Linked DNA regions of Diceros bicornis minor. The protein of the gene in region 1 purifies or fractionates together with the protein of each later gene. This does not show direct contact. Links are inferred from orthologs where the notes say so. Each region holds a gene or a part of one and is shown on either strand. Other genes may lie near its edges.

Region 1 (7,801 bases):
TGGGTATTCAACTTATCATATCACATATTCGTTCAAGAAATATTTAATAAACAACTGCTATATAGCACCAGAGAGATGCCAGATAATCAAGTAGACTTTTTAGCTAGTTAAATCACAAATAGCAAAATTTAGGATAATCTAATAATTAAAACCTCTCAAACCCAGCTCAAATCACTGAATTCCTTCCCCTAGTTCAACAACACTACTTACATTACTTATACACCACCCTGGGATCTTTCCAAGAATCATGCAACTTAAAAAGCAAGGTTATTGAGCTTAGAGTTTTAAGAATCACAAAGTCTAAGAAATCTACTTTTCAGCTACTCTTCTAATAGGGTAGTTAGAAAGTTTTCCCGTATTAGAACCATTACAAGTACAGCACAATGATGATAACTTGTGGAGCACCTGGTAAAGAGCCAAACTAGATAACATTACTTATTGATAAGGATGACATTTTATTAGATCAAAGAAGGTGATATAATAAGGAGATGAGAGAGGGAGAGAAGCCTGCTAGTTCTTTCAGGCAGAGCCTCAGAAATGAGCAACACACTGGTAATCCTTAGACTGGTCTCTTGTCTGGATGAGGACTCTGATCTCCACAAAACACTTAAGAACCACCCTAGTCTTATCAATACCAAAAGTAGTTTACTCTGCATATGATTTATCTCACCTGCTTAATGATGATTCTATCAGACTCCATCTCATAAGGTAATATTCCCTGGCCTTGATGTAAAAGAGGACAGAATGACATCTTTACATTCCATAACACAGCCCTCTGTGGTACTGCCCAGTCATTCATCAATGGAGCACAGTAACTGTGTCAGTCTTGACTTCACAGTGTCTCTCAACAGTATAGCCAGGTGAGGCAAAAGCTTCTGCTGTGTTATGAAAATAATTTTAAGTTACTTAAGTATTTCTTCTATCATTTGATGACCAAAAAATACACAATGCCATTTTACCTAATCATATATAAACTTGAAACTCTGGGGTTTCAGACCATATAATCAAAATCTCTTATTTTAAAATTCAAGTTTAGTACTCACTAAATTTTACTAAAATTAATTTCACTGTAAATAACAAAACACTCCCAATAAGAGAAAGAAATTTCTAAATCAATATTCACTTCTAGAATGGAGACTCTTTTTTGATGCCTAACAGATAACAGTACCACTGAATACTATATTTTCATTTTAAAATTCCATTCACGGTTTTCCCTCATTTCTTAATATCGTCTTTCTAAATGAAACGTTTTTCTCTTATCTGGGAGGATTCATACCAAAGACACACAAAGCTAAGATGGATAAATCAGGATTAGCAATAAGGAGTGTTATTTCACCAAATTAATTCAAACGAATGTGGCTTAACTTAACAGCATAAGGCATATTTCAATCTCTCTCAGAAATTATAGCCAAAACTATTTCTTCTAATTCAGACACGAAAGTTAACTGGGTCTGTGAATCTTTCAGAGTAGTAGGACTGACAAGATAAATGATAAACAAAAACCTAAGAGCAGTTTCAGGGCTGAACATTGGGTAAACTATTGTTATTGCCTGTGCACACTTCCAAATGTATCAAGAAGTGCTGTATCCTAGCGATTGGGAAACGGAGAAAAAGTAAGAGTGGTAAAAACCTTGCAACCTGGTCCCACTGAACACAATTATGACTCTGCTATGTGGTGACTAAATTGGCAAGAGATAAGACGGCTCTGAAGCAGTCGTTCCCACTGATTGAGTGAAGAAACCTACCGAGTAATAGCTCATTGAAAGCTGATGTAAAACTCCATACGCAGCCTCACGTGTTCAGGGAGGACAGCGCTCGTGGATGATGGTTCTTGTGATCCATTAAGACAAAACAAAGAAAAACTTCATTCACAATAAGCTGAGTCTAGCTATCCTCAGAAAGACATCCAGCTTTCCCATAACATTTGTCCAGTTGAAGAAACAATGCATGCCTAATGTATACTGAGTACTTACAGTGAGGGAACCTTAAGTTTATATAAAAAATTATTTTCAAAAAACTTTTCAATGTTCTCCTATATATATGAAAATCATACTACTGACTTACCAGTGTTTGAGTTGGTTTTTCAGTAGCAGAGACAGATTTGTACTGAACCAGCCACTTACTGACCTGGTCATTCTTACAACCAACATTTTCAAGATGACAGTCTGGGGTTAAGGATATACAAATGGCCATGAAACAAGATGCAACTCACTGGGTCATCTACAAATCAAAACTAAACCCCTGACCTCATTGCACCTTTTCCTAAAAATGCATAACAACAATGATTTACTAAATATTTCTCCCTTCTTCCTCAACTCACTCTTCCTTTTCTACCTCAGTCTATGCTATCCTCCTCAATCTGAATTCTGCCTATCCTGTAGAACTCAATTTAAATCCCATCTCTCACTCTTTCCCTCACCTCACCAATGTTACCATATCCCCCTCTCTCTGAATTTGAAAGCACATATTACCCATCCTCACTCACCTTACACTGTTACTTTTTCCATGATTGTCTTGTCTTTCCAACAAAATTGTGAGCTCCTTAAGGGCAGGAACCACATATTCCTCAGTTATTGCCTTCAGAATATCCAGTACAGAACCTTGTATGTATGTGTAAATATTCAATTACATTTAATTGTGTTAGGCCTTAGTTTACAAATCAGACATTACAGATAATAAATCAGAGTAAAAACATCAATAGCCTCTCCTCCGGGCATCAAACTAAGGCTTAGAAAAACATCCAAAAAGTCTTTCAAATTATCACTGTTCAAGAGCACTCTGAAGTGAGGACTTGAGATGGTAAAAAGAAAAGATATAATAAGTTGTGGAAAGTTAGACTGTTTTCTCACTCTTTAAGGCAAATAGTGAACAGCGACTTAAAGATCAGTAGAGCTACGGATACAATGTTCAACAAGGCATCACATTCAACAACATGTCACTGGTCACACACACACTAGCTCAATTCCAGACTCCCTTTCTGTGGTAAGAGAGTTCTGGAGGCTCGGATGTCCACTGGAAAAAAACAAAGCACCTGCTCTTCCCAGCACTGAAACATGGCAAAAAGCACATACACACACCGCCAAATCAGCAAGCAAAACTAGCCTGTAGATGAAACTATGACTTTGAAGTTGGCGGTAGGGCAAACAGAAAGAAAAGAAAATACTATAAAAGCCTGAAAAAGCACAACTTTTAGGTGAAGAGGCTACAATATTCTTCAGGCACTTATTCACAAGACTCTTTGTGTTTCTAAGAAATAAGACATACAGACACACTTTAGTAGACTTTCTCATACTGTACCTGAGACACTATAAGTCTAGAGGTAAGTTGTTATGAAGCCACCCTGTCAAGACTGAACCTGATTACTTCTAAGGAAAAAAACAACCATAACTAATTCTAAAGATGGGTGGCCAAAGGTAGGATTACCATTCACCCCAGTGGGTCTCCCTGCAGTAGTTACAACCCGACCCAAAACAGGGCCTGGGTTTGGGGTGCTGTAGCTGGCTAGCATCCTGCAGAAGCGCTTTCTTCACAACCATAGCACTACCCCTCTAGGTGCTAACAGTCTGGCAGAAACTGGTGAAAACCAATTTTATGTCAGAGGATGCAGTCCCCAGCATTCCGTCCTGGATCTTTCTATTAAATGAAGAGACAAAGCGGCGCAGGGGGGCGGGTAAGGGAGGTGGTGCCAAAGACACTGGCAGCAGGACAACAAAAATAACCAAGTTGAAACAATATGTCCTGCCTTCTTCCTAAAGCCATTTCCTTCAATAGTGATAGGGAGGCAGGCAGTCTGCAAGTCATTACACACGGCTGTTTTCACTTTCACAAGAACCCTGGAAACCAGTGAAGAGCAAAATCCCCCTCTCTGCCCCACAGTTACCTTCCAACCCTCTCTCTTTCGTGCTTCCTTCCTTCCTTCCTTCACTAGAGACAACCGAACAGGGACAATCCTCATCAATCCGCTATTTTGCTTCACTGAGGATGGGGGAGGGGGAGGATCTGGTGAAGTAGAAAAGCAAAGAGGAAGGTGAGAAGCAACAGCGGAAAGAGTATCGAGTAGGAGAAAGAGAGGTCATAGTGAGAAGACAAGGTGAAGAAGAGTGCAAGAAAACTGAGGGGAGAGTTGTCAGAGGAGAACTAGCTAAGAAAGACAGAAAGATGGGGGGGGCAGGTAACGAGGGGAGAGGGAGTGAAGGGCAGGTCAAGCATCCGAGGGGGAAAAAAGGCCGGACGGGAGTTATGGAGCCAGGGCCGGGACGCCCAGGGTTGGGGGCCAGCGACGGGAGACCGTGAGCAGCAGGTATTGGACAGACCGATGTCAGGGGAATCAGGGGAGTGCGGGGATCTTAAGACCCTGTGGACATCGGGCCGAGGAACTCACGCCGATGCCGAGCGCAGAGGACACGGGGCTCTTACCGGTAGTTTGGGGCTGACCTCGCCCTTGCAAAAGTGGCAGAAAAACCGGTGCGCGGCGACAGCGGCGCCTGCGCCCGCCCCGGCCGCCGAAGCCTCCGCCATTTTTCTCTTCCGCCGCGGCTGTCCGAGAGGGCAGCGGCCCGTCCCTCGCCAAGCCACTACCACCCGGCTGCGGTCGCCGCCTCTGCCGCCGCCGCCGCTTCCTCAGTGCGGCCGGCCGCTCCAGAGCCCGCCTCGGTCACGTGAGTCTGCCGAGCCCAGAGAGGCGACGGCGTCGACTGCGACCCCGAGGCCCGCCTCCCAGCACCAAAGAGGCGCAGGAAGGAGAGTCCGCCCGCTGCGCCCGCCCGCCGGCTCCTCAAACAGCTCCTCGCCGGTCCTCCAGCCTTCCAGCGAGAAGAAAGAAAGAGTGTCCCCGGAAACCACCGAAACTCTGAGGGTAGAGCGGCACACGTTTTTCCCTTTTCCCCGTCCTCCTCGGTGTCGATTCTCCTGCAAGAAAGGGCCGTGGGCTCCCCCTCTGCCCCGGCGGCTAGCAGGAGCCACATGAAACCGCCGGCCGTGGGGAATCGGCGGCGTTAGATTGCATTGACCCAGAGGTTAGTGGAAACTGCTGTCTGAACCAAGGGACCAAGTCCAGAACGGGAACCTGCGTGAAGGGAGTGAAGAGCCAGGAGTCAAGCTCCTTGAAAATCCTTTTCGAGGACGGCAGAGGGTCTAGGGATGCTTCCCCAAAGGCATGTGGTTGGCCTACTGAGGCTGAGAGGCAAAGACTTGGCTTCTGAGGAATTGAGAGAAACAAATGAACAAACCAATGTTTGGTAGCACTTGGGATGATAAGGAAGTAATTATATAGCCAACTACGTCTGTTTGTGTCTACTTTGTCAAGGAGTAGAAATTTCAAAATTAAATACTGCCCTGCAAACAACATACTTCATCTCCTATTTGAAACACCCTGTTGAGAAGCTCTCCTTTACCTCTTAATTTCTTTTTCTATGTTGTCATGTCCTTTATGGACTGGGAATGACACTGCCTGTTCACTCCCAATGGGCTGTGAACAGTGGCCTTAATTCTTCCAAACAATGAAGTATAGAATCTAAAGTCTGTGACAGATAGCAGATCCATCTACACCCAACCTTTAAAAAAAAATAGAGGAAAAAAATTAAAATCACACATAATTCCATAAAGATAAATTTGATGTATAGTCTTCCAGGCTTTTTTCTATACGTACATGTTTTTCTTTTCTTTTTTCACAATAATTGAATTTTCCTCGACATTTTGCTTTGTAACCTGCTTCCTTAGTGAACAATTTTCTATGCTAATACATACTATATTTCATTTTAAATGTTGGCATAGTATTCCATCATATGAGTATCCCATAATGGATTGAATTAATCCCTTATTGCTAGACATTAGGTTGTTTCCAGTATATCAGAATTCTAAAGAGAACTACAGTGACATCTTTTTATTATTTGTTTGGAACGATGTATTCAAAACAAAATTATTAGGTCGAAGTTATCCAAGATTTTAAGGCTTTTGATCTGTAATGTCAAATTGCCCTTGAGAAAGTACATGAATTTACACTCAGTAGCTCTACTCCCAACATAAAAAAAAACTTTCCATCATACAGTCCTTTTTGTTTCCAGCTCTCAGACTCCTCAGTACAATGACTCAAGCAGAAATTAAACTGTGTTCTTTGTTGCTGCAAGAGCATTTTGGAGAGATTGTAGAAAAAATTGGAGTCCACCTAATCAGAACTGGCAGCCAGCCACTAAGAGTAATTGCCCATGACACAGGAACATCACTGGATCAGGTATGTTTGGATGACATTAATTTGCTTTCATTAATTTCTTTTATCTACCTTTGAATATTGTTACTTCCCACCCCACAAAATGGAAGAGGGAGAAAGCCTGCCCTGGGATCAGAACAGTGTTATTTGCGGGGAAAGAGGATGAGATGTAGGCCCCAAGGTTCTGCTTCTCAAACTTCCTGGTTCATCATGGCTTCTTAGGCAAATCTTTGCTCTTCCTATGCCATACCTCATTTATTCATAATGAGTCTGTTAATCTCAGTACTACTTTTAAGGAATGAGAATAATAAAGGGAAAGTACATTGTACTTTGGAAGATGAAGATCAGAGGAAACATGAGCATCGTAGCGAGGAATCTTCCTGATTTCTTCTATGGACATGTGATTCTTATTAGCTCTTTCAATGGAGGGAGGGAAGAAGCACAGAGATTCTTATCTAGCCATCTCCTGGTGCTGAGTAAACTGTTGGACAAAATTGCCTGCAATAATGAGCGGTGGCTTCAGATCTTTTCCCTCTTTCTTTTGGGTCCTATCTAGGTCAAAAAAGCTCTTTGTGTCCTCATCCAACATAACCTGGTGATATATCAAGTGCACAAACGTGGTGTGGTGGAGTATGAAGCCCAATGCAGCCGGGTGTTGCGAATGCTTCGGTATCCCCGGTACATCTATACTGCTAAAACACTATACAGTGACACTGGGGAGCTAATTGTTGAGGAGCTGCTGTTGAATGGCAAAATGACAATGTCAGCTGTTGTGAAGAAAGTGGCAGACCGGCTCACAGAGACCATGGAGGGTCAGTACTGTATCCACTGCTGTTAGCAAAAGCATAGATTGGCTGGCTGCAGGAGTAGACCCTCAGCTGTCTTAGGCCATCTCACCTGCCTTTTTCCTCCTGTTGTACAGATGGCAAGACCATGGACTATGCTGAGGTGTCAAACACATTTGTGCGACTAGCAGACACACACTTCGTGCAGCGTTGTCCCTTGGTGCCTGCCACTGAGAATTCAGACTCTGGGCCACCACCACCTGCCCCCACTCTTGTCATCAGTGAAAAGGACATGTACCTGGTTCCTAAACTGAGCTTGATAGGTAAGGAATTTTGACCCCTGGACCGTGACTTGCCCTAATTGTTGATTCTTCATCAATGATTGTTAAATGAATGAATCAATCAATTGGGCAGTTACCAAGGATTTATTCTGTGCCAGGTACTGTGGTGTAAAATGATAAAAAAAACTCATAGTCTCTACCCTTATGGTACTTAAGTCTAGTATAGGAGACTTAGATTAATCAAATAAACCAGATAGATATATAACTAACAAACTTTGATAAGTACTATGAAGGAAAACTGTGAGGTATTATGAAAATATATAACGGGACCAGCTTTATCTGGGGATTTCGGGCACATGCTTCTTTGAGAAAGTGGCATTTGAGTTAAGATTTGAAGCAGAAGTAGGAGCCAACCAGTGAGGTAAAGTATGAAGGAGTACAGAGGATAAACATTTTTGGCAAAGGCAAGAGTATATAGTGAGAAAAATATAGGATATTTTAGGAAGTAAAAGAAGGTCAGTATAGTTAAA
Region 2 (7,798 bases), on another chromosome or scaffold:
GGAAAAGAAACATATGAGAGGAAAGCTAAAGGGGATTTATTTTGTAAATCTCCCCGGTCCTGTAACAGGGTCATTTTAGGCCTGGCCAAGTCTTCTACAACTATAATTCTACACACAAGATATATATATACACACATATATACACAAATATCTTGCATGTTGAATTACACATATATATACACATACACATATATTTTCAACCAACACTGTTTTCTAAGTAGAATGGAACCCATGAAGTGAGACCTTTGATTCTTCTAGAAACTTTGTTGGATTTTGACATAAAAAGGTGGGCCTGGAGTGAACTTTAAGCCCATAAGCAGGGAAAAGTTAAATGACTCTGCATAATAAAATAAAAAATATTTGAATTTTTGGAGGCAATCAGAAAGGAGAGAAAGAGGAGAGAGAGAAGGGCCAACCAGATTATATGAGCCTGAAGTTCCCCTGTAATGGTAGCCAAAATGCATTTTAAGAATAGAGATGCCTAATATTCAACATCAACACTCTCAGGACTGCAATCCCCAAATCTCATAAAGTTTACCACAACGCACAAAGGCTTTAGGTGAACTCTCTTTTTTCTTTTCCATTCCTTCCTCGCTCCTGTCGACACATCTATCCAACAACTTCATCACGGACATCTCAACTATCCAGTAGCACCTCACTGGTCTGCTCCAAATCTAATTACCTTCCTTTTCCCACTCCTTGTTTTTAACTGCCCTTCTCTTATCTCCCAACATTCCACTGCTCATTAATGTCATTATCACTAAAGGAACACCTAATATTTACTGAGCAGTTGTAACGCGCTAGGTCCTCTGCCAAGGGCATTACATGCGTAATTTCATTTGATCCTCAAACCCTACTAGACAGGTACTATGATCATTTCCTAAATGTGAGAAAACCAAAGCTCAGTCAGGATAGTAATTCTAAGAGTAAGTGATGGAATTCAATCCCTGACTCCACAGCCAGCTTAACCAGTACACTCCAATGCCTCAAGTCAAAAAACCTAGGAATCATCCCTAGGAATCATCATTAATCATATCTAGTCACTTACCTATTCCAACCAAATATACCTCCTAAATGCCACATCATCACCTACTTCCACTGCCTTCACAGACAACTAGCATCTACCAAGTCCTTACTATGTGTGAAGCACTATTCCAAATAATATACATGTTTTTCAAGCTTTATCCCCCAAACCCCATGAAATGAAGAACCTGAGGAAGAAAGAGGTTATATAATAAGTGATATAGCCAGATTCAAACCCTGAAAATGTGAATTGAGAAGCCTGAGCACTTAACCCCTATAGTATAAAAGCTCCTACTTTGTCCCCCTACCTCCCATCTGCACCCCCACCATCCTCCAGACCGCTGCAAATATCCTTCTGGAATGCAAATGTTATCACAACATTCTCCTGCTTAAAACTAGCGGCTCTGTATTACTAACTGGCTAAAGTCCGGTTTTCTTAATTTGGCATACAAAATCCTTTGTGTTTCTGTTTAAGTCAGTTCAATAAATATTTGAGTGCCTACTGTAAGCAAGGCAAAGTGCTAAGTGCTCTGAAATGAATACTACCCAGCCCTTGACTACCACTCCAACCCCATACATTGTGTCCTTCAGCCAGAGTAACTAGATGCAGATCTCGTAATGCAACACCCTACATATTAGTCTCTTTGTCTAGAATGTACCTGGAAAATCCCACACCAATTTGAAGAGTGAGTGCCTATGTGGGGCCTTCCCTAACAAACTCCAGGCAGAAATGCTCCAAGTTCCCACAGCACTTTGTTCAGATAACTTTCAGGTAGCTAGTAGTATGGCTCAGCTTCCCAATAAGACTATGAGCAACTTCAGGGCAAGAGCCGAGCCCTGCCGTCAAGGCCTGGCATGCAGTAGGCACTCTATCATTTGCTGAATGAAGAAATAATGAAAAATTTCTCACTTGAGAAAAGGAAAGGAACAAGATACAGAATTAGGAATGTTAACACACAAGTGGGCCAAATTAAAAGTAGTGTTATTCTACTTCGGTTCCGATTTGGCATACATTTTACCCCTATGGGAAAAATCACATGTGGGACTTGGACAAGCTAAAAAGGTAAAACTTTGTTCTTCATGGCTTAACAAAGTTTTGACAGGCCCCAAAAGGATACTAGATCAAAGTCCATTTTCCAAAGGAGTGTGGAGATCGGAATCAAATCCATCAAAGTAAATAAAATTGATCTGAGATCCAACTTCATCAGTGCTGCGTCACAGTACACACAAGAAAAAACTCAAAATCTGTCCCGGGACGAAGGCCAATTTACAATTAACTACTGCTGCTTCAAGAATGTGAAATTCTTTAAGTGAAGGCAGTTCCAATAAACCGAAGCTCACAACTGTTTCCTCCTCCTGCACTGCCACTGCTTTTCACTTAACTTCGTTTCTGGTTTCTGTGATTTAAAAAGAAACATCTATACAGTTAAGCCCGTGCATGAATGTACTGTAGCTCCTGGCAGATACGAACGTCTTGATTTGTAACCTTAAATGTAAACTGAAATATCAGAAGAAACACTACATATAAGTTAAAATTCCTTCGTTTAAAATATGGCATAAAGCTTTAAAAAGCGAGTGATGTATTTCCTGAGTGGTGCTTTGTGTGCAACTGCTTCAAAACCAAGATCCATATTTTGAAATTACCCCCATGAAGAGGTGAAATCGCTCTCCCACCCTCTTTGGCCTGAAGGGAAAGGTGAGAATTCCTAGGCAACAGGCTGGGACGGAGGGTACGATCTCTCCCCATTCCTTTCCAGGGGAACAAGATCTGACGGAAGGCAGCTAGTGTCTCTCATTCACCACAACATACACACAGGAAATAAAAAACTCTTCCCCACCTCTCCCCTTAAAAAAGCAAAGGACGCAAAGATCTGCAACACAGCGGCCGGAACCACCAAATGGTAACAGCCGGGGGCCGCCCACCTCTCCCCGGCGCCTGCCCGGCGGCGAGCACCGGGCGAGGGCAGCCCGTCCCTCCCTCCCTGGACAAGCGCAGCCGGCCCCACACCCGGGTCCGCGTTCCCCGCAGCCCGGCGCGCGAGGAGGAGAGCCGCGCACCGCGGCGGTGGCGCCGCTCGGGCCGCCTCCCCGGGCGCGGCGCTGCCCCACACCCCACCGACGCCCGCACCTGAGGCGGCTGCCCGGACCCGGCGGGAGGGCGCGGAGCGAGGCGGCCAGGCAAAGTTACTCACTGGGAAAGCGCGGCTGCCCGGGGCGCGCGCCGGCTCCCGGCGTCGCAGCACAGCCCAGCTCCGCTCGCCGCGGCCCGCTGAGGGAGTGCGGAGCTAGCCGGCCTCTGCTTCGCGGGGAATCGCCGCCACCGCCGCGGATTTCCTGGCAAGAAGCAAACTCGGGCCAAGACTTCGCTTCTCAACCGCCCCTGCTGCCTTCGCGGGGGCGAGCGCCGGGGCCCAGCCGCCCAACCCGACACGCACCTAGGCCAATCGGCGGCAGCACAGGGCGGGAGATGGGCGGGCCAGAGAGCGGCTTCGCCTATCCGAGGGTTCAGGGGGCGGGCCAGGACGGGCCGTCAGTCCCGGGTTAGAGTGAGCCTGCTCCGCCTCCCGCCGCCTGGCCTCCCCCCCCGCCTCGGGTGTTGCCGCCGCTCGCCTGATTCCCTTGCAGAACACACGCTCGAGAAGTCTCTGCGCTCCCCGCCGATCGCTGCGAAGAGAGCGGAACAGCTGGGGGAGGCAGGGAACATCTAGGGGAATGGGGGTGGGGGGGCGGGTAAGGAGAACAAGTGGCGGAGGAAAGCAGAAGTGTAGGTGTGTTTGACGAGAGGACAGCCGGGGTAGGGTGGTAGGGACAGGGGCTGACTGGGTGAGGGAGGCGAGGGGAGCTGGTGAGCGAGGAAGGGAGAGGGGTTATTAGCAAAGAACACCTGAGGGGACGGAGAGAGGAGCGGTACGAAGGAAGGAGGGCGGAGAGCGAGTCTGGGTGGTGAAAGGTTGCCGAGGCGGGGTCAGCGGCACCTGTGAACAAAGGTGAGCGAGAGGTTCCGCAGGTGAGGAGGATTAAGACGCCGAAAGGGTAAAGGGAAAAGGAAGTCCAAAGGGAAGGAGGACGTACTTCAGGAGTAGAAAAGATCCCAGGAGAGAAAGGATGGGGGCTTCCTTCCAAACTCTCACTCCTCCCCCAAAAGGTAAAGACAAACGCCTGTCTTTTGACCCACTTGAGCTGTGCAGCTAGCTGCAAGATCCCGTATGAGACAAATACCGGCTCAAACCATCCTATTCGGTTGTGAAATTCATCAAGGTGTACTGATCAACTATAGTTTAAGCCTGTCGTCCCATGAAAGCCTCCCCGAGGGTTGGGGTCCCGCCTGGGAGTAACACCATCCCCCACGGGTCTAACAGCAAGTCAGAAAGAGGCCCGAATCCGGCCCTAAAAAGGAAGGTGATTTGGGGGCCACAGGTAAGGCCCCGCCCCCTTCGCCATCACCTAGAGGAAGGTGCCGAGGGCTGAGTTCAGGCGCCCACAGGCCGGTCTCGGCATCGGAGTGGGGCGGGAGCCCGACCCCTCCTCTCTCCCCGCTAGCTCTGCCGGCGGACTTGCTCCGGGAGGGCCAGGTGAGCGGCTCCTGCCTCGCTCCCGCCCTCCTCGCGCCAGGGGCGGGGCATGTGGGCGGGGCCTCCGGTGGAGCCTCCACGCCCCGCCCAGTGGCTGGGCCTTGCCGCGCCGCTGCGGCTCCTCCCCGCTCCTTCCGTTTGCGGCTGCTTCCGTCGGTCGTTCCTTCCTTCCTGCTTCGCCCGCACGTTTCGTGACATGGGGCTGAGCCTCCGGTCCGCCAGCACCACCTGAGGGTCCCGGAAGCCGTCCCCGCCATGGAAGAGGACCAGGAGCTGGAGAGGTAACGGCCGAGGAGGAGGCGGGCGGGCGAGCGGGTGGGAGGAGAGGGCCGCGCCCTGCACCGGGAGCCGGTGGCCGAGGGGCCCGCGGCCGGCCGGGGCCTCAGCCTCCGCGGCGCTGCCTGGCAGCGAGGGCATGGCTGGGAGGGCAGTGGGGGAGAGAGAAGCGGGCGCCTGGGCAGGGAGAGGGTCCCCGACTGGGAGGAGAGGGGTGAAGACGTGGATGTGTTTGAATACAGACGCTCAGTACACTAGATACCAAGACAAGTTGTGAGATTAGAGTTTAAGTCCCCACTCTGCCCACCCCACCCCCCGTTAGAACAGTAAGAGTAAATAACGCTAACGTGTAAAATTACGCACCAGGCCACTGTTCCCCAAGTGATAGCATTGGTGTGCTCAGTCGGGTCGTATTCCCTGTAACTGCGGCCCAAGTGCCTCCTCTGTGCAGACTGCTAATGAAGCCACTGTGCGCTGAGATCTTTCTCCCTCCTGCTTGATTGACTCTTCTCCGACTTTCCCTTCTAGTTTCCTTACGTCCTGCAAATGGAAGCCGTAGTGGGCCTGCACGTTGATAATCTATAGTCTATTTTTATAATAATCTGTGTTTTTATACGCCTTTCAACTCCGTTTTCATCCTCTAGCAGGGCCCTCCCTATTCTAATCCTATCCCTTTCTTATGACTCTACCAAAAGAATATTTTAGCAAACATTTAAGTTTGTGTTTTAAGGAGACTCGCCTTGTGGCCATGTGGACGGTCAAATGGAGTAGGGAGAAACTGGAGGCAATAAATTAAATATTATTGATAGACTATGTGGAGGCAGCAAAATAAGGGGCTAATGCTAATAGTTCTATGTAATTGAAGTACATTAGAGTAATAATGTGTTGCAGTTGTGAAATAGTAAATGAAAAAAGCTAGTTAACAAAACCATATTCAGTATGATCTCATTTTTATAAAAAATATGTGTGTAGAAAAAGATCTGGATTGAAGACCTCAATGGCTGAAGGCGAGAGGAAGACAGCCCTGGAAATGGTCCAGGCAGCTGGAACAGATAGACACTGTGTGACATTTGTATTGCACGAGGAGGACCATACCCTAGGAAATTCTCTTCGTTACATGATCATGAAGAACCCGGAAGTGGAATTTTGTGGTTATACTACAACCCATCCTTCAGAGAGCAAAATTAATTTGCGCATTCAGACTCGAGGTACTCTTCCAGCTGTTGAGCCATTTCAGAGAGGCCTGAATGAGCTCATGAATGTCTGCCAGCATGTGCTTGACAAGTTTGAGGCCAGCATAAAGGAATATAAGGATCAAAAAGCAAGCAGAAATAAATCCACATTCTAGTCACTTATGCATGCTACAGGGAAGACTATCCTCTAGGATATTCTCTTCGTGATCTTGTAAAACCCACAAGTAGAAGTTTGTGGTTACATCATGATCTGTCCTTCTGAAAGGTGTGCTTCTAGGTATTGACCCATTGCCGCTGTTGGAATCCCTGCAAGAACCTTTGTATTGTTCTAATAAATTCCCTCTTTTATTTAAACTAATTTGAGTGGTTTCTGTTCCTTAGTCCTCAGGTTGACTGTTTTAGGGTTTTTTTTCTAGCTTACTTTCTCTTTTTTAATTGAGCCAACATTGAAAGTGAGGAAACTATGAGAAAATCAGAGGCCCAGGCAAGGACTTTGATCAAGGGGATTAAAAGGAATATGCATTCATGGCTATGATTGGGGGAGAGGGAGAGATGCAATAGAGCATGACCCCACATAGACTTGTTGGTTTAAAAAATAAAAGGAGGAAGGAAAGAAAGGTGGGAGGACTTAGCTTCTTGATAGATAGTTTTTAGTAAATTCATGGGAGAATTGCATCCTTTGCTATGATTGGTAGATTGGGCAAGGGTGGGGAATAATTTGAAAGAATTGTGAGAATTCTAGTTTCACATGAGAGTTTTTGGTGGTATCAGGCTCCATCTTTGTGATAGCATTTACAGGATAGATGCCAGTTTACTGCTTTAATTTCAGGACAGTAATAAAATATTTAATCAGAAATGACCTAAGTAGGTCAAGAGAGTTTAATTGTATTACAGAAGGAGAAAACTGGGAAGACCAGATAACGTTTTCAGTCCTTAGGTATCTAAGTATAGCCCAAGGTTACATTAAAAAAGGAGTATTTGAGAAACAGTAAGGACAGGGAGAAGGAAAATTCCATGTGGGGAAAATGATTTTTTTTTTTGGAAAACTTAAAATATTAGTGAATCACGTCTAAGAGCTGTCCTATTTACCTCTTCAGCGTTGTCTCTCATGCCTGTCCTACCCCAACTTGACTCTTAATTCACCCTAATATCTGTCAGCCTTTGAACCTGAGCACACCACCCCCCAGTGCTCTGTCCTTTGGAGCCTTTGTTTATTCCCTCTTCCTGGAACACTCTTCCTTCTGCCATACTCTGGTCTAGGTAAGAACTTACATGTCGGACTTCCTACCCTAGTTTGGGTATTTGTATGTGCTTTCATTATGCTCTGTGTTTCTTGGTTTTGGATTTACTATGCTATTGTTAGTGCTTATGTTGTGTACCCACTATACTAACTTGAGGCACAATGCTTGATAGGTAGTGGATGGTTAGTAAATATTAGATGAATCCATGTCAGTAGTTAAGGCATATAGCCTTTTATTCACTCAAATCAGACCTCTTCTACTAGCCTACCATAAAGCCCGCATTTCCTACACTCAGTCAACTCTTTAGATAAATGTATTTCTGTATTTATTGAGCATTTGGTGTATACCAGGCCCTGGAATAGACATGTTAGTAGATGAGACACAGCTCTTGTTCACATGGAGCATACATTATAATAAGAGTGAAATTTTTTTTTAAAGTTGTAATTCTGTGAAAAAACAAATACAGGGTCAAGATAGAAAACATGAAAGAGGA
Region 3 (6,035 bases), on another chromosome or scaffold:
TGGGGGTCTCAGGGCTGGTTGTTGGAGGCCAGGCCCTGCTCCTCGCCCTCGGCAGGAACTTGGCCAAGGGGAGGGGCCTGCTGGGCTTGGGGGGAACCTGGAAGCTTCTGGCAGCAGGACCCTCAGGATGGACAGCCATGACCACAGTGGGCACTCTATTCAGGGCCCAGAAAATCTGGTTCTTGAGATCCTGGGAGAGAGGATGTGGGGACCTCTGTGCTCTGCCTAAAGGGGGCTCAGAACCTGGGCATGGGGATGCCAGTGTCCCCCCGGCATCTCCCCTACCCCCAGGGTTCCTGGTTGTCTGTGGCTTTGTTGGGCTGTGACAGCACACACCCCAGAGGGAGACCCTCCAGGCTGAGGAGCAGCTGCCATTTGGATGGCTCTCCCGCCTCCTGGGCAGTGAGGGCTGCATTCACCCCCAAGGGGCCTCAGGCATGAGACAGGACACAGAAATGCAGGCGGTGGGAAGTCCCACAAAACCAGGCCAACTGTTAGAACCTCCTTGTGGTTCTGCCAAGACCTTTACTGGATGATTCCTTCCAGAGTGGGAGACGCACGCCCACACAGCTGGGGGCAGGCATTGCTCCTGGTTGCCCACCCCTGGGTGGAATGAACCCTGGGCAAGTGGTCAGCACGGCAGGCGGGCGGGCAGACTCCAGCGCAGTCACTTCTCCAGGGGCGCATAATTGAGCAGCTTCTCGATCAGGTCCACATGGGCCAGCAGCATGCGGCGGCAGCAGTAGCGCTTCAGGCCCAGAGCATCCAGGGCGTCCCTGCCGGCAAGGAGAGAACGGGCTGTGGTCAGTTTGTCCTGGCAGTCCCTGGCAGACAGAGGGCCGTGCACAGGCCATACTCAGTCCCACTCAGCTGCTGTGGGATCTTTCCTCAGCCCCACTCCACTCCAGGGAGCCCCCTCTCTCATTTCCTGAGCCAATTAGAGCTCTCAATTTCCCTGCGACCCAGCCCCAGTCACCCTCAAGGCCTGAATATTTCCACATCATTGCCTCCAACGAGCAGAGATAGTAGTTTGGGAAAGAGGAGGCCAGGCTGGGAGGTCCCTGCCCATGGCATCCCAGGGAAGGGGTCTCATGCAGGCTGCCAGCCATTCCCTAGCACTCTCGTCACTAGCAGCCTCATCAGGGCTTGGCGCTAACACTCAGCCCACCTATGGCTTCCCCGTTCATCCAACATACTTGCACTGAGAGCCTATGGCGTGCTGGCATGCCCCAAGCCCCAGGGGTTCAAATTTGATTAGGACACAGGGCTGTCCACACAGGGCCCAAAGTTTAGCCTCTAGTAGGGAAGAGAGACTAGAATAGGCATGGTGGTAACTGTAGTGCTAAAGGGCAAGCACAGAAAAGGGACCCACAACAGCCTGATGAGGACGGCTGTGTGGTCACAAAGCTTATCCTCCGTCCTAAAAGGAAAGTGGGTTTGCCGGGTACAGATGTGGACCTAATGACAAAGAAACAAGATTAGGAAGCAAGCACAGGGAGAGGAGGCTGAGAGTTTTAACTGTGGTAGAGAGGCACGGTAACCCGCCAGCATACCTAGGTGTCCCCAAGACACCAGTTGCTTGATGCCCAACACCCCACCTCTCCCCAAGCTGGCGGGCAGTGGGAGGCAACGCTGTCCTGAGGGAAGGTCAGGCTGGAAGGTACCTCGGAACTGCAGCATCACCTGGCATCTGATGAGTGCCTCTGCCCACCTCGCACGCCGGGACCCTCCCAACTCCCCGCTCGCAGCCTGGGACCCCCCACCCCCGTCCCTTTCCCACAGGCCGGGATCCCCCACCCCTATCCCCGTCCCGCAGGCCGGGACTCCCTACCCCTATTCCCGTTCCGCAGGCCGGGACCCCCCACCCCGACCCCGTCCTGCAGGCCCGGACCCCGCTACCCCGTCCGCAGCCCGCAGGCCGACGGTCCGGCAGCCTCCCCTCCCGCGCCGGCCCGCGCCTCACCCCTCGGTGTACTCGGCCTGCAGCAGCCCCAGGTAGGCCTCCCACTTGTTGCCGACGATCTTGCCGCACGTAAAACAGCGCACAGGGATGATCATGGCTGTGGAACAGAAGAGCACAACCGTACCGCCCGGCGACGCTTCTGCGTGTGGCGCCGGGCCCGCCGCGGGCGCACTTATAGAGCAGGCGGTGACCGCCCCGCCCCGGGCGCGCCTATAGAGCGGGGGGTGACCGCCCAGTCCCCGGCCGCCGCCAGCCAGCCCTGCCCGCCCCTGGCGCCGCCGGCGTCCGTCTCCCGCCGCCACGAGTTCCCTCCGCGCGGGTCGGAGGTCACGGGCCCCGCGCGGCAGCGGCAGGAACAGGAGGCACCACCCCGTCCGCTGCTTTAGTACGTCCCGGCCTACGGCGGCCGCGCGGGGCCTTAAAGGGTTGTCGTCGGCGGTTCGCGTTTCTCGTGTCCGCATGACTGACAGCTGCGCGGCGGGCAGACGGCGCGCTCAGGTACTGCGCTGGTCTGGAAGATGTGGCCGGGGTCCTGCCGCCGCAGCGGGACCGGGACCGGGACCGGGACCGGGACCGGGCCCAGGACCAGGAGCGGGCCCAGAGCCGAGCCGGCGCGGAGTTCGTGCCCCAGCGCGGAGCCCCGAGCCGAGCCGCAGCAACAAGTGGCGGGGCCGGGGCCGGGGTCGCGGAGACGCGCTGCGGGGCGGAAAGGGGCTGACCGGCCAGCGAGGCCGGTGGGAGCGGGCGACCACGGGCAGGTCTTCCCGCTGCCCCTCCCGCCCGGCCCGGACGAGGGTCTTCCTGCTTGCAGCCTCTTCCTGCGAGTGCCTGGGGGGTCTCTGCAGCTGATTTGGGGATCCCATTCCCAGCCGCGGCCTGGCCCCTCGGGGCACCGCCCAGCCTACTCCCCCGCATAGTATCGGTCCCAGCCGGGTAGTTACCTGCAGCCCCGACGGCTGAGGGCGCGCTGGGAGCAATCGGGCCGGTGCCGGGCTGGGCCGGCGGCTCCTCTCTTCTTCCCAGGGAAGGGGCTGGGAGGGGGTGTGGGATGAGTCTGCACCTGTCCCAGGCCAGGCTGCGCTGGATCGCCCGCGATCTGAGGGCATCGGACTTCTGAGGACCCCGAGGGGAGCAGAGGCTAGGGAAGGTGGTCAGGGAGAGTGTGTTCGAAGAAGTACCCCTGAGCTGAACCTTGAAGAACACAGGATTTCCCCAGGGGCGAGCCTGAGTGTGTGAGAGAGCAGGACAGATCCGGGCAAAGGGAACCCTCGGGCAGAGACCTGGAGGCTGTACCTGCAGAGCAGCTCAAGGAGACAGGTTTGCACTAGGGCAGAGGAGGTGGTGGAGCTCGAGGTCATGGGGCAGGAACCATGGAGGATTTAAAGGGATGGGAGGCTGTGTCTCTGAAAATGGGGTGGGTTGAGCGGGTGATCCCGGGGCTGGGGTCTGCAGGGAGGGCAGTGTGTAGTGAGAGGCAGGGAAACCTCCCTGGAGGAGGTGAGCTTTGGGCAGTAGGGGGTGGATGTGTTACAAAGTGGCGCCTATGACTTACTTGCGTGTGCAGGCTCTGGGCATGTTCACTGGCCTGGGGTGTCTGGATCTCTGATTGGGATGGGGCCAGCGTTGGGTCCCAGGCATCAGCTAACTGCCCTCTCAGGGTGGATGATGGACTCTGGCCTCAGTTGGGGAGCAGGGAGATGGAGGGTCCTCTGGGTCCTGGGTGGGGCTGGCCAGAGCTGCTGCCTGCCTGGAATTTGTGTCCCCACCTTCACCTGGGCTCTGGACAGCTTCCCCAGTGGCGTTTGCCATCCCCCACCCTGCCACGTGCAGAGCCACGAGCTGAGGCCACTTCCCTTCCCTGCCCTCCCCCAGGCTGACTGGACGCACATCCTGTCCCCGACCAGAGGAGCAAGACGGGGGCCTTGAGTCACAGTGGCCTGGAGTCGGACTCGGGCTCAGCTGCAGAGGCTACCGGTGGCTGTGGAGGTGAGGGAGACAGGGGAGGGGCTCCGGGATGTCCGCTGGGTGGACATTCAGGAGCTAGGGGGGGATGGAAGGCTTCCTGGAGGAGGGGCCCAGGGCCTGCCCCACCCTTGCTCCAGCCCTGACTCGTGAGCAGTTGTTTACTCCGAGAGAGTGAGGGGAATGAGCCTCCCGCCCTGATGCTGGCCAGAGCCAAGTTGACATTCCTGGAATTCTGAGCGCTGCGTGTGGATTTGGGGGTGGTGGCCGGCTTCCTCTTCCTGAGCTCCTCCTCCAGCTCCCTGAGTTCCCAGGAGAGGCCATGGGGAGCAGCGTGGCTGCCGCTGTCCCAGCCTGTGCACGTACTCCCAACACCCGTGTGCACGGAGGCTCCTTGGGGCCCTTGATCCTCCCGTCTTGACTCTGCTGTGGCTCAGGCTGGACCAGAGGACCCTGGGGGAGCCTCAGAGGTCAGCCCTGCCTTGCTGCCGGGGCCTGGGTGGTCGTATGTCTGTGTGTGTGTGTGTGCACACGCTCTGGGAGGAGCAGGCTGGGGTGTGGGCCGGGCTCTCTTCAGGGTGGGCAGGGGCAGGAGGTGGTGGGCTGGGGGTGGGGCCGTGTCTGCTGCAAGGGTAGGTGGGGGCCCTAGCTTCTCCCCTGGGTGTGTGTGGAGCCTAGGCCTCTGGGGAGGGCCGGAGATGGGGACGGGAGAGCGGGGCGCGGTTTCTGAGAGTGGACTGTCCCGCCCCGGTGGTGGGGGCTCGAGGAAGGAGGGCCATGCTAATGTGTGGTTTGGAACCCCTGAGCCTCATTTCCTGCCGGAGGGGGTCACTTCAGGGCAGACCGGACAAGGGGAAATCAGCGATTGGAGTTTGAGCTGCTGAGACCCTCCAGCCCTGAGGGTTGCCCTGGAAACAGGCTGGCCACAGGGGTGACCCAGCCTGGGAGAGGGCTCACCCTGCCCCCTGGTCCTAGGTCACAGCCTCAGTTTCCTGGTCTGTAAAGTGTGGGTGGAACCAGAAGCTGCCCAGCGGGAGGGTCCCAATCCTGGCTGTGCAGGCGTGCGGTCCCAGGCTCGGCCCCTGGCCCTGCTTGCTTGGTAGATGTGGGCTCACACAGGGGGCGTGCGGGGTCGGGTGGGGTGAGCATACAGGCTCAGACGCCTCCCCAGGGTCGGGCGAGGTCACTGCCTGCCACACCAGTACTTAACGCTCTGGGCTCTGGGGAATGTGGAGTCGTGAGTGGTGGCATTTGCAGATGTGCTTGAGGCCAAAATGGCCCTAACCTACTGACCCTCCGGACATCCCTGAGGGTACTGCTCTATAGGGATCTCTGTGGCACGGGGCCGGGTGGGCACGTCTGTGCAAGGTAGGTGGGCACACACTGGGCACCTGAGGCAGGGTGCTCCCAGGGCCTGTGGTGGGTGGGAAGGCTCCCCCCACTCCCAGGTCCTAATTGTGTCTCCTCCACCCCCTCCTCCACGTGGCCTCTAGCAGAGAAATACCTGAGGGTGGGAGGATGAGAGGGGGGTGAGGAGGCAAGGCTTTGAGCTTGGGGTTGGCCTCGGTGGGCCCAGGAGGAGAGACTGGGGGCCTCTGGGTGGCGTCTCTCACGGGGACCCCTCCCCTAGGGACCCCTCCACTGGAGCGAGTGTCTCCCAGCCCGGGAGGCTGTGGATTGGGTGTGGGGAGAGGGCCCTGCCCAGGCTCTGTGTGTGGAGGGGGTACCAGCCTGCCTTTCCCCCAGGGTCGGGGCCTGGGTGGGCATTGGGGCCTGGCAGGCAGCAGGAAGGCGGACACCACAGGCCTGTTTGTGTTGGCGGGGCCCTGGCTCCTCAAAGCCGCCTCAGAGCCGGCTCGGCCTGGGGGCCCGGGGTGGGCGGGCTCCGCTCTGCTCTCCACCCTGAGCTGCCCCCACTGTATGTGTGCTCCTGGGCCAGGCCCCTGCTGCTGCTCGCGGCTGAGGCTCTGGGTGGGTCATGCCACTGGCAGCCACCCATCAGCTCCAGGCCTCCAAGTCCTCCAAGTCCGCGTGGGCAAGCGCTCTTTCAGCTTTTGGGGAGGTTTCTATTTGAATGGGACCTTGGTCTAGCCAGGTAGGTGTGGCTCAC
Region 4 (7,490 bases), on another chromosome or scaffold:
AGTCCTTTTGCTGTTTCAGGCTCAAATCCAGGATACCACATTGCATTTAGTGTTTAGTTGTTTTTGAAGAGTAGGAATTAACTCAGTAATATTCCTCTTGTACAAGTTTTGCAAGAAGTGTTTAAACTCTTCAAGTTAGTCAACTGAACCCTGAAAAGTTTAAACTCTGATTGCATTTCTTTTATTACACTAATTTGCAAATCAAACACACACACCCCAAAACCCGTAAGTTCTAAATACAATTTGTTGTTCGTAATAGTTTAGGGACAGAAACCACAAATTATGTTTATTATATTTGTATGTTGTAACAGCACAGTTGTTTTGCTATAAACTCTCCTTAGTACTGAAAATAAATGTTTGGAGCTAGCAGAGTTGGATCTGCTCCCAAACTCCTAGGGATTAGGATGGGGAGAAAGTTTTGCATGTATGGCTGCCCGTGGTGAAGCTCTGCTTGAAAAGGTAGGCAGAAAAAGAGGTAATGCCATCCGTCCAGTCGGCAGTTCATGTTTCCTAAGGCTTTTTTCTTTCAAAAGTCACTGTAAATTAAGCAAGAATAAATGCCCCTGTTTTGGATCCTATCTCAGCTTTCACGCCAAATTGTCAACTGCGGTGTTTTTAACAAGCGGAGATGCATTTCCTAATCTGTAACACAATCTCCTCAAGGTCGCTGTAGCGAAGTGAAATAACCACATTTTAAAATCTACCTCGCTGTCGTCAGTGATTATCGTCTGTCCCTGCACCAAAACTGATCTCTGTGCGACCCAGATGGGACTCGAACCCACAATCCCCAGCTCCGGAGGCTGATGCCTTATCCATTAGGCCACTGGGTCACCACGAGATCCGGGTTCTCACACCGTCTTCTTACGTGATGCCATCATCGCGCCCCGCCCTGCCCTGAGCTCCGCGGCCTCGCGTCGGGCGGTGTGTGATTTGGGAGCCGCCCCTAGCGGCGACGGCGCGCGCTTGCGCCCTCGGCTCGGACTGCAGGGCGAGCCCCCGCGCGCCTGCGCGGGGCCCTGTCCGCCCCGCTGCCCTGGGCTTGCGTGGCCGGCACGCGGACGGTTCTGGGCGGCCTCCTTCCGGGTGGGTTCTGTTCGCTGCGCGGACTGCACATTAGGCCCACTTGGGAACTTACCACAAAATTCCAATGCCTGTCCTCCCAACGTTCTATTTCTGTTTATCTGGCTGGGCCCGGGCGTCTGTATTTTACAAGTTCCCCAGGACCTTTCTCTGCCGCCGGCGTTAGGAACCACTCGCGGGGCGTGAGGGCCTCCGGCACCTGCCCCCTACACCCAACCCTCCCGTCCCTTACAGGGCCTTCCTTCCCTTTCTTTCTTGCATTTATTCAACGTACATTAATTTGATAATTATGTGCTGGGGACTGTTGCGGGATTCCAGGGTGAACAGGCTTTTCTTCAAATTTGCCCTTCTCCCCCATTCGTCTACATCCACTTTCCTCCCCCTCTCCTCTTCCCCTCCAGGTTAAAGGGAAAATGAATATAACAAGGTCCCTGAGTACAAAATAATACGGATTTTTGTTTGTTTGTGTTTATCCTAAAGCTGGGTTTTGGATAAAGATTTAGACTTTCTGGTTCCATACACAATATCTCTGTGCTTGTTGCATGTAAAGATGCTGCATTTGTGGCTTTTAAAAATATGCAATTTAGTTTTCTTGTTAGACATACAATACCTGTTCATTGTAAAATTGTATAAAGTATGGGAAAGCCAAACGAAGAACATTGAAATTGACCATAATTCTACCATTCGGAGTTAACCACTACCAACATTTTGATGTGTGTTTTTCAAATCTTAAGTGTCATTGTGTCATATGTCACTGTTTTATTACCTGTGGACCCTGACTCATCCAGGAAATGGTTTTCATGAAAGCTAGGACATTACTAGTGAATAATAATTCACTAATCATTCAGCACTGATGGTGCGGAAGTGATGGTGGGTAAAACTGACACCTTAGTGAATCAAGGCAGTGGCATCAAACTAGTAATGGTGTCTTCTTCACCTTTGCGCACTGGCTGTGGGGGGGGGGAGCCAGCTTCACTTAAGAATGTCCTTGATAATCATATAAGAATTATTAATTGTATTCAGTCTTGACTCGAGTACATATCTTTTTAATATTTTGTGTAACAAAATGGGAAGTGTGCATAAATCACTTCTACCACATACCAAAATACAGTGGTTGTCTCCTGAGAAAAACATTTGTGTGATGTTTGAGTTGCAGGCTAAACTAGCTGCTTTTTCAGTGGAACATCGTTTTTACTTGAAAGAATGACTGACAGACAAACTATGATTATTCAGATTTGGACACACTTGGGTTTGGTTCTCCAGAGCAGCTACAGTCTCAGGCGCCCATCATCACAGCACACAGTCCTGTGGAAGAGAGAGGCTATCTCACTCTCAAGGGCCTCAGTAAACTTTTTACTGTACTGTGTTAACATCTTCATCACCAAACCAATATGGCTGTGTCTCTGCCATAGAATGTACTGATTGGCCTAGGCCAGACAGGCCCTCTCCTGAATCTCTGTCCAGACTACAATAGCTAAGAGTAGAGGATGTATGGTTCCCCCTGGGCAACATTGTGTCTTTCAAAGGCAACTTTCACTTTTGACATTATACTTCCGTTTCAGGTTGTTTTCAGGTACAAGTACAGAATAGTGATTGAGAGCATGGATCCTGGACTAGACAGCCTGGGTCTGAATCCTGTCTCTGCCACTTATTCATTGTGTAAACCTGGACGAGTTACTTAACCACTCATGATTCAGTCTTCTCTTCTGTGAAATGGAACAGATAATAATACTACCTCGCACAGTTGTGAAGATTAAATGTATTAATATATGTAAAACAGAACACTTCTGGGCACATAGTACTCAATATTTTCAAGCAAAAGAAAACCCAATTTAACTAGCTTAAACAACAAAGAAAGTGTATCAGATGACATAATCACAAAGTTGTATAATTGCAACCTTCAGAGGTAGGGCATGCTGTCAATCAGAGCTTTCATGGTTTCTCCACCACTGTCCTATTCATACTTCCAGGAGTAACATCCCTCAGTTCAGAAGAACAGAGCCTGCTTTCCTACCTGCAATCACTAAACAAAAGGCATAGGCTTCCCAACTGGATGAATTTAGGTCACATGCCTGCCCCTGAACCATTCACAGTAGCCAAGAGAATGCCCTGCAATGACTGGCTTAGGGGTGAATTCCTTCCATGTTTTTGCACTTAGAGTGGATAGGATTCTGCTGATTGGGTAGGTGGGAATAGAATCAACCTCCTATGAACCACATGCTGCTACACAATGAGTGAGACTGGCATAAATGCCTGCAAGACGACTAAGTTCACTGTTTCAATTCATTTATAGCAAAAAATAAATCAACACAACTTTTTAAAAAATCCTTTTTCAGAATACAGAGAAACAGCAGAAAGAAAACAAAATGGCCCACAATCCTGATGCTCTGATAACCCTCATTGATGCTTAAAGAAAAGTACATGGCAAGAAAATGTAAACATTTTATTCAGAAATGTATAAAATACAGCATAGATCATTACTAGAACAATTGGCAAACCTTGAACATGAACTATATAATTAATAATAGCATCAAAGTTCAGTTGTCCTGAATTTGATGATGGTGGTGTGGTTATATAAAAGAATGCCCTTATTTTTAGAAGATACACGCTGATATATTTAGAGGTAAGGAGACATGATTTTTGAAACTTACTCTTAAATCGTTCAAAAAGTAATATGTAAAAGCCATATATATATATGTATGTGTGTATATGTATTTACATGGAGAGAGACAGAGAAATAAATGTGGCAAATGTTAACGTTTGGCAAATCTGGGTAAAGATTTGCAATTCTTCTGTACTGAAATTATTTAAAAATAAGTGTCTGGAAAAACAGGCATAATAAACCTTTTGTTACCATATTTGTGGCTTCTTTGCAGTCTTTTATGACACAAGTTTTAAAAAAAAAAGAGAGAAACTAAAAAATGCAAGACAAATCTGCCTTACTCCTCCCCTCCATAGTGGCCAGAAACCCCTGCCACGTTCCTTCTGTGTCCTATCAGGGAAAAAATGTATATCAATATTTTTCTATATGAAGATTTTTAAAAAGAAAGATTTTGGGAATCATCTGTGGTACGTGGTTAAGGCCACCCAGGAAAACGACCAGCGACCTTACTCGCATAAACCCTCAGCAGCGACCGGACCATCCAGCCAAGGCGGGGCTGGGAACCGGCCCTTCGCGTTGCATGCCGGGATCTGAAGTCTTTCCACTAAGAACTGCAAGGCGCTCTGGGATCGCCCGGCCGCTCCCCCATCTCGCGATGTTATCCTCCCTTCCTCTGGGCCCTATGATCACCACCCCTCCCCAACGTGTTTTTCAAATCCACCAATGGACGCACAGCGTCTGCTCGAACCAGCCAATCGGAATGCGGAGCCACCGGGAAATTTAAATCGCGCCGGCAGGCTGCACGAGCCACACCGTCTTCGGGTTGAGCCGTGGTGGACGTTTTGAGGGCATCCGATCTGCAGCCTGTGCGTCCCGCGCCGATTGCTGTGGAAGCCTGACCCGGCTGTGAAGGTACGAACTCAGGCCGCAGCCTGGCCCGAGCGGTAACGGCTGGCCCCAGGCCGCGCTTGGCTTTCGGGTGGCGAGAGGGGAGGCCCGGGTACACGCCCGGCCTGCCTTCGGCCTCCCTCGTTGGCGAGGCCTCGGGGGCGCCGTTGGTTGACTAGGCGGCTGTTCCGCGATGCGAGTGCGTGGGTTGTAGGGCGCCGAGGCTCTGCGGACCGCAGCGGGAGCCCTTGCGGCCCGGAGAATCTCCGTTAGGCCCGAGGGCCAAAGTCCGGGAGTGGGCCCGGCGCCTCCGGCCCCTCCTCCGCCGGTTCCCCGCCGCGTCTCCCCGGGGTGAGGGGCAGGGGACGGGACCGGAGGTGGAGGCGGCAGTTGGAAGGACTCGCTCCTTAACACGTAGGCGCTGGGTTGGCTGTGGCACAATTTCGTAAAAGAACATAGTGGAATTAAAGATAACAGATCGTAGGGAGGACTTTTACTTTCGTCACCTTTCAGAGATTGCTTTTAAGGTATCTGAGTCTGAATGAAGCACCATTAATATCAGCCCGATTAAGTGCATTCACTCGCGATTCCTAGAAATGAAAATGGGTGCGGGATGCTGGGGATGCAGAACTGCGTCGCAAGTTTTCAGTGTTGACAGGAAATGTGATGGAAGACTCCATAATGTAATGATGAACCAAATTTTTCTTTAGTTTTCAAGTGAGAAATTTCAGGGAGAATGTAGCTATTTTGGCCATTTAAAGACAATAGAGAGCCTCCAGAGAATCTGAATTTATTGCCCCTAGGACATAGATTTTAACAGTAAGGTCAGTTCCCCTGCTTTGTCTTCAGTTGGCTCTTTATGGACTCCGTATAGAGTCTAGAGCCGCACTGTCCAGTGTGATAGTCACTAAATGTATGTGGCTCATCCGAAGTGAGATATGCTGTAAGCTTCAAGTGCAGGCAAGATTTTGAAGAACTAGTATGAAAAAAATAAAATATCTCAATTTTTTAATGTTGTAACGTGGTGAAATGAGAATATATTGGAAGTGTTGGGTTAAATAAAATATATTATTAAAATTAATTTCACGTAATTCTTTTTGCTTTTTAAAAAATGTGGCTACTAGGAAATTTAAATTTATGCACGCTTGCAACATATTTCTGATGGACAGCACTGCTCCGGGAAGTCTCAGCCCCTTCAGAGGGGAGGGGACAGATATCATTTGGCCAAGACTATTTCATAGTGCTCAGAAAGGAAGTTTGTCCTCTAACAGAGAAGTGTAGATTCAATATATGCTTGGTAATTGTGTTGATGCTCTTCTTATTGACAAAGCAAAATGATAAAAGGGAAATTTTTTCTCTCCCCCATCTTAGAGCTTTCTCCCTTTGTCTCATAACCATGTCCACGAATGAGAATGCTAATTCACCAGCTGCCCGCCTTAACAGATTCAAGAACAAGGGTAAAGACAGTACAGTGAGTACTTTCTGTTGATTTCCTATGGTATTTTTTAAATGGGAAGATATTTGAGAAGAGGTCAGAACTTTGAGGGAATTTGAAAAAATGCCCTCACTTGGCAAGAAAAACTAATCTAATAGGTGAAATGATGTGTTATCTTTTTGCAAGGAAATGAGGCGGCGCCGAATAGAAGTTAATGTGGAGCTGAGGAAAGCTAAGAAGGATGACCAGATGCTGAAAAGGAGAAATGTAAGCTCATTTCCCGATGATGCTACATCTCCACTACAGGAAAACCGCAACAACCAGGTAAATATATTTTAGCTTCTGAATTATGGTAAACCCAGAAAATCAATATGGGGCTTTTCTTAGAAATTTAACATTCCTGGCTTTATGGTTTTAACTCTCAAATCTGAAGATCATTTTTTCTGCTCCCAATCAGTAATTCTGATGGGTTGTCTTCTTTCCTGCTCACCCTCCATAATCTTTTGAAGCTGATTCCAAGGTTGTCCTGAGTTCCAATCTCCTCCCTTCGAGTTTTCCAGCATTTCCAGCTGCCAGCTCGGTACCTTAACCTGGCCATTCCAGTGCTAACTGAAATTAGTGTATCCAGAACCAACCACTTTCTGGCTTATTTCTACCTTTTTTGATATTCTCTATTTTTTGTACTTGTCACTAGCTTTGTTCAGGGCTTTTTCTTTCTGAAATATTTTCAGTAGTCTCCTAATTTATCTTTCCCTTCATTCTATGCCACATACTATTTACTTAAAAATTTTCCTAAAATTCTGCTTTAGACATGTTCTTTCTTTGCTTAAAACTTTGATGGTTTTAAATCCATATTATTTGAAGGTTTTTTTAAATTAGACCCATCGTAGATTTTTAAATATCTCTCGTTTTTAAAAGATATTGGGCACTTTCCTACCTTTTATCTCTGTCGCCCCCCCCCCCCCCCCGAATACTACCTACGTGCTATTTCTAGGGTATTATTCTCAAATCCATCTTTTCCTTATAGCACTCCCTGGTCAGCTTAGCAGGAAAAATGCCCCCTCTCAGAATTCCTCTAGCACTCTGGTTCTGCACCAACAATGGAGAGTAAATGCTTATATAACATATATATACACATACATATATATATATACACTATTTGTTGTACGGTTGTTGATGTCACATTTTCCTTGTTAAGTTGTAAACTTCTAGGGAAAAAGGGACACTGTCTTTTTGAGTTGTCTACTTGAGTTATAGTATTGGTTCTCAAACTTTTCTACTGGGATTACAACATATAACATTTATATTTGCAGCACTATACCATGGAAATGCATAGATTATAAGGTTAGATGTGAAAATCCCCAGCACATTGCCTATAACTCCATCCCTTTTTCCCCTAAAAGCTTATGCAAGTGATTGAGACTAATGTAGAAATAACCTTCAAACTGCTCTAATTCACTTTTTTGTTTTTTCCTCCTAATTCAC

The links.
Region 2: the proteins of POLR3C (region 1) and protein POLR1D purify together in Homo sapiens (affinity purification with mass spectrometry; 3 studies listed by BioGRID and IntAct, with this or other methods). This does not show direct contact. The link is inferred for Diceros bicornis minor from reciprocal best matches to the Homo sapiens genes POLR3C and POLR1D.
Region 3: the proteins of POLR3C (region 1) and POLR2L purify together in Homo sapiens (co-immunoprecipitation; 3 studies listed by BioGRID and IntAct, with this or other methods). This does not show direct contact. The link is inferred for Diceros bicornis minor from reciprocal best matches to the Homo sapiens genes POLR3C and POLR2L.
Region 4: the proteins of POLR3C (region 1) and KPNA2 purify together in Homo sapiens (co-immunoprecipitation; 3 studies listed by BioGRID and IntAct, with this or other methods). This does not show direct contact. The link is inferred for Diceros bicornis minor from reciprocal best matches to the Homo sapiens genes POLR3C and KPNA2.

Annotation. Positions count from the first base shown.
Region 1 is NC_080743.1:53,359,378-53,367,178, forward strand, and holds the start of POLR3C (DNA-directed RNA polymerase III subunit RPC3), read left to right. Parts: upstream 1-4,788; 5' UTR 4,789-5,015; intron 5,016-6,062; 5' UTR 6,063-6,082; coding exon 6,083-6,229; intron 6,230-6,761; coding exon 6,762-7,017; intron 7,018-7,127; coding exon 7,128-7,313; intron 7,314-7,801. Other genes in the region: E3 ubiquitin-protein ligase RNF115, read right to left, coding at 4,417-4,518. UniProt on the Homo sapiens protein: DNA-dependent RNA polymerase catalyzes the transcription of DNA into RNA using the four ribonucleoside triphosphates as substrates.
Region 2 is NC_080748.1:10,914,718-10,922,515, forward strand, and holds the start of protein POLR1D, read left to right. Parts: upstream 1-4,792; 5' UTR 4,793-4,850; coding exon 4,851-4,876; intron 4,877-5,843; coding exon of another isoform or gene 5,844-6,219; exon of another isoform or gene 6,220-7,798. Other genes in the region: DNA-directed RNA polymerases I and III subunit RPAC2, read left to right, coding at 4,851-4,876, 5,844-6,219.
Region 3 is NC_080770.1:1,179,858-1,185,892, reverse strand, and holds POLR2L (DNA-directed RNA polymerases I, II, and III subunit RPABC5), read right to left. Parts: upstream 2,113-6,035; 5' UTR 2,059-2,112; coding exon 1,964-2,058; intron 777-1,963; coding exon 668-776; 3' UTR 503-667; downstream 1-502. UniProt on the Homo sapiens protein: DNA-dependent RNA polymerase catalyzes the transcription of DNA into RNA using the four ribonucleoside triphosphates as substrates.
Region 4 is NC_080757.1:47,461,294-47,468,783, reverse strand, and holds the start of KPNA2 (importin subunit alpha-1), read left to right. Parts: upstream 1-4,487; 5' UTR 4,488-4,594; intron 4,595-5,941; 5' UTR 5,942-5,966; coding exon 5,967-6,041; intron 6,042-6,191; coding exon 6,192-6,329; intron 6,330-7,490.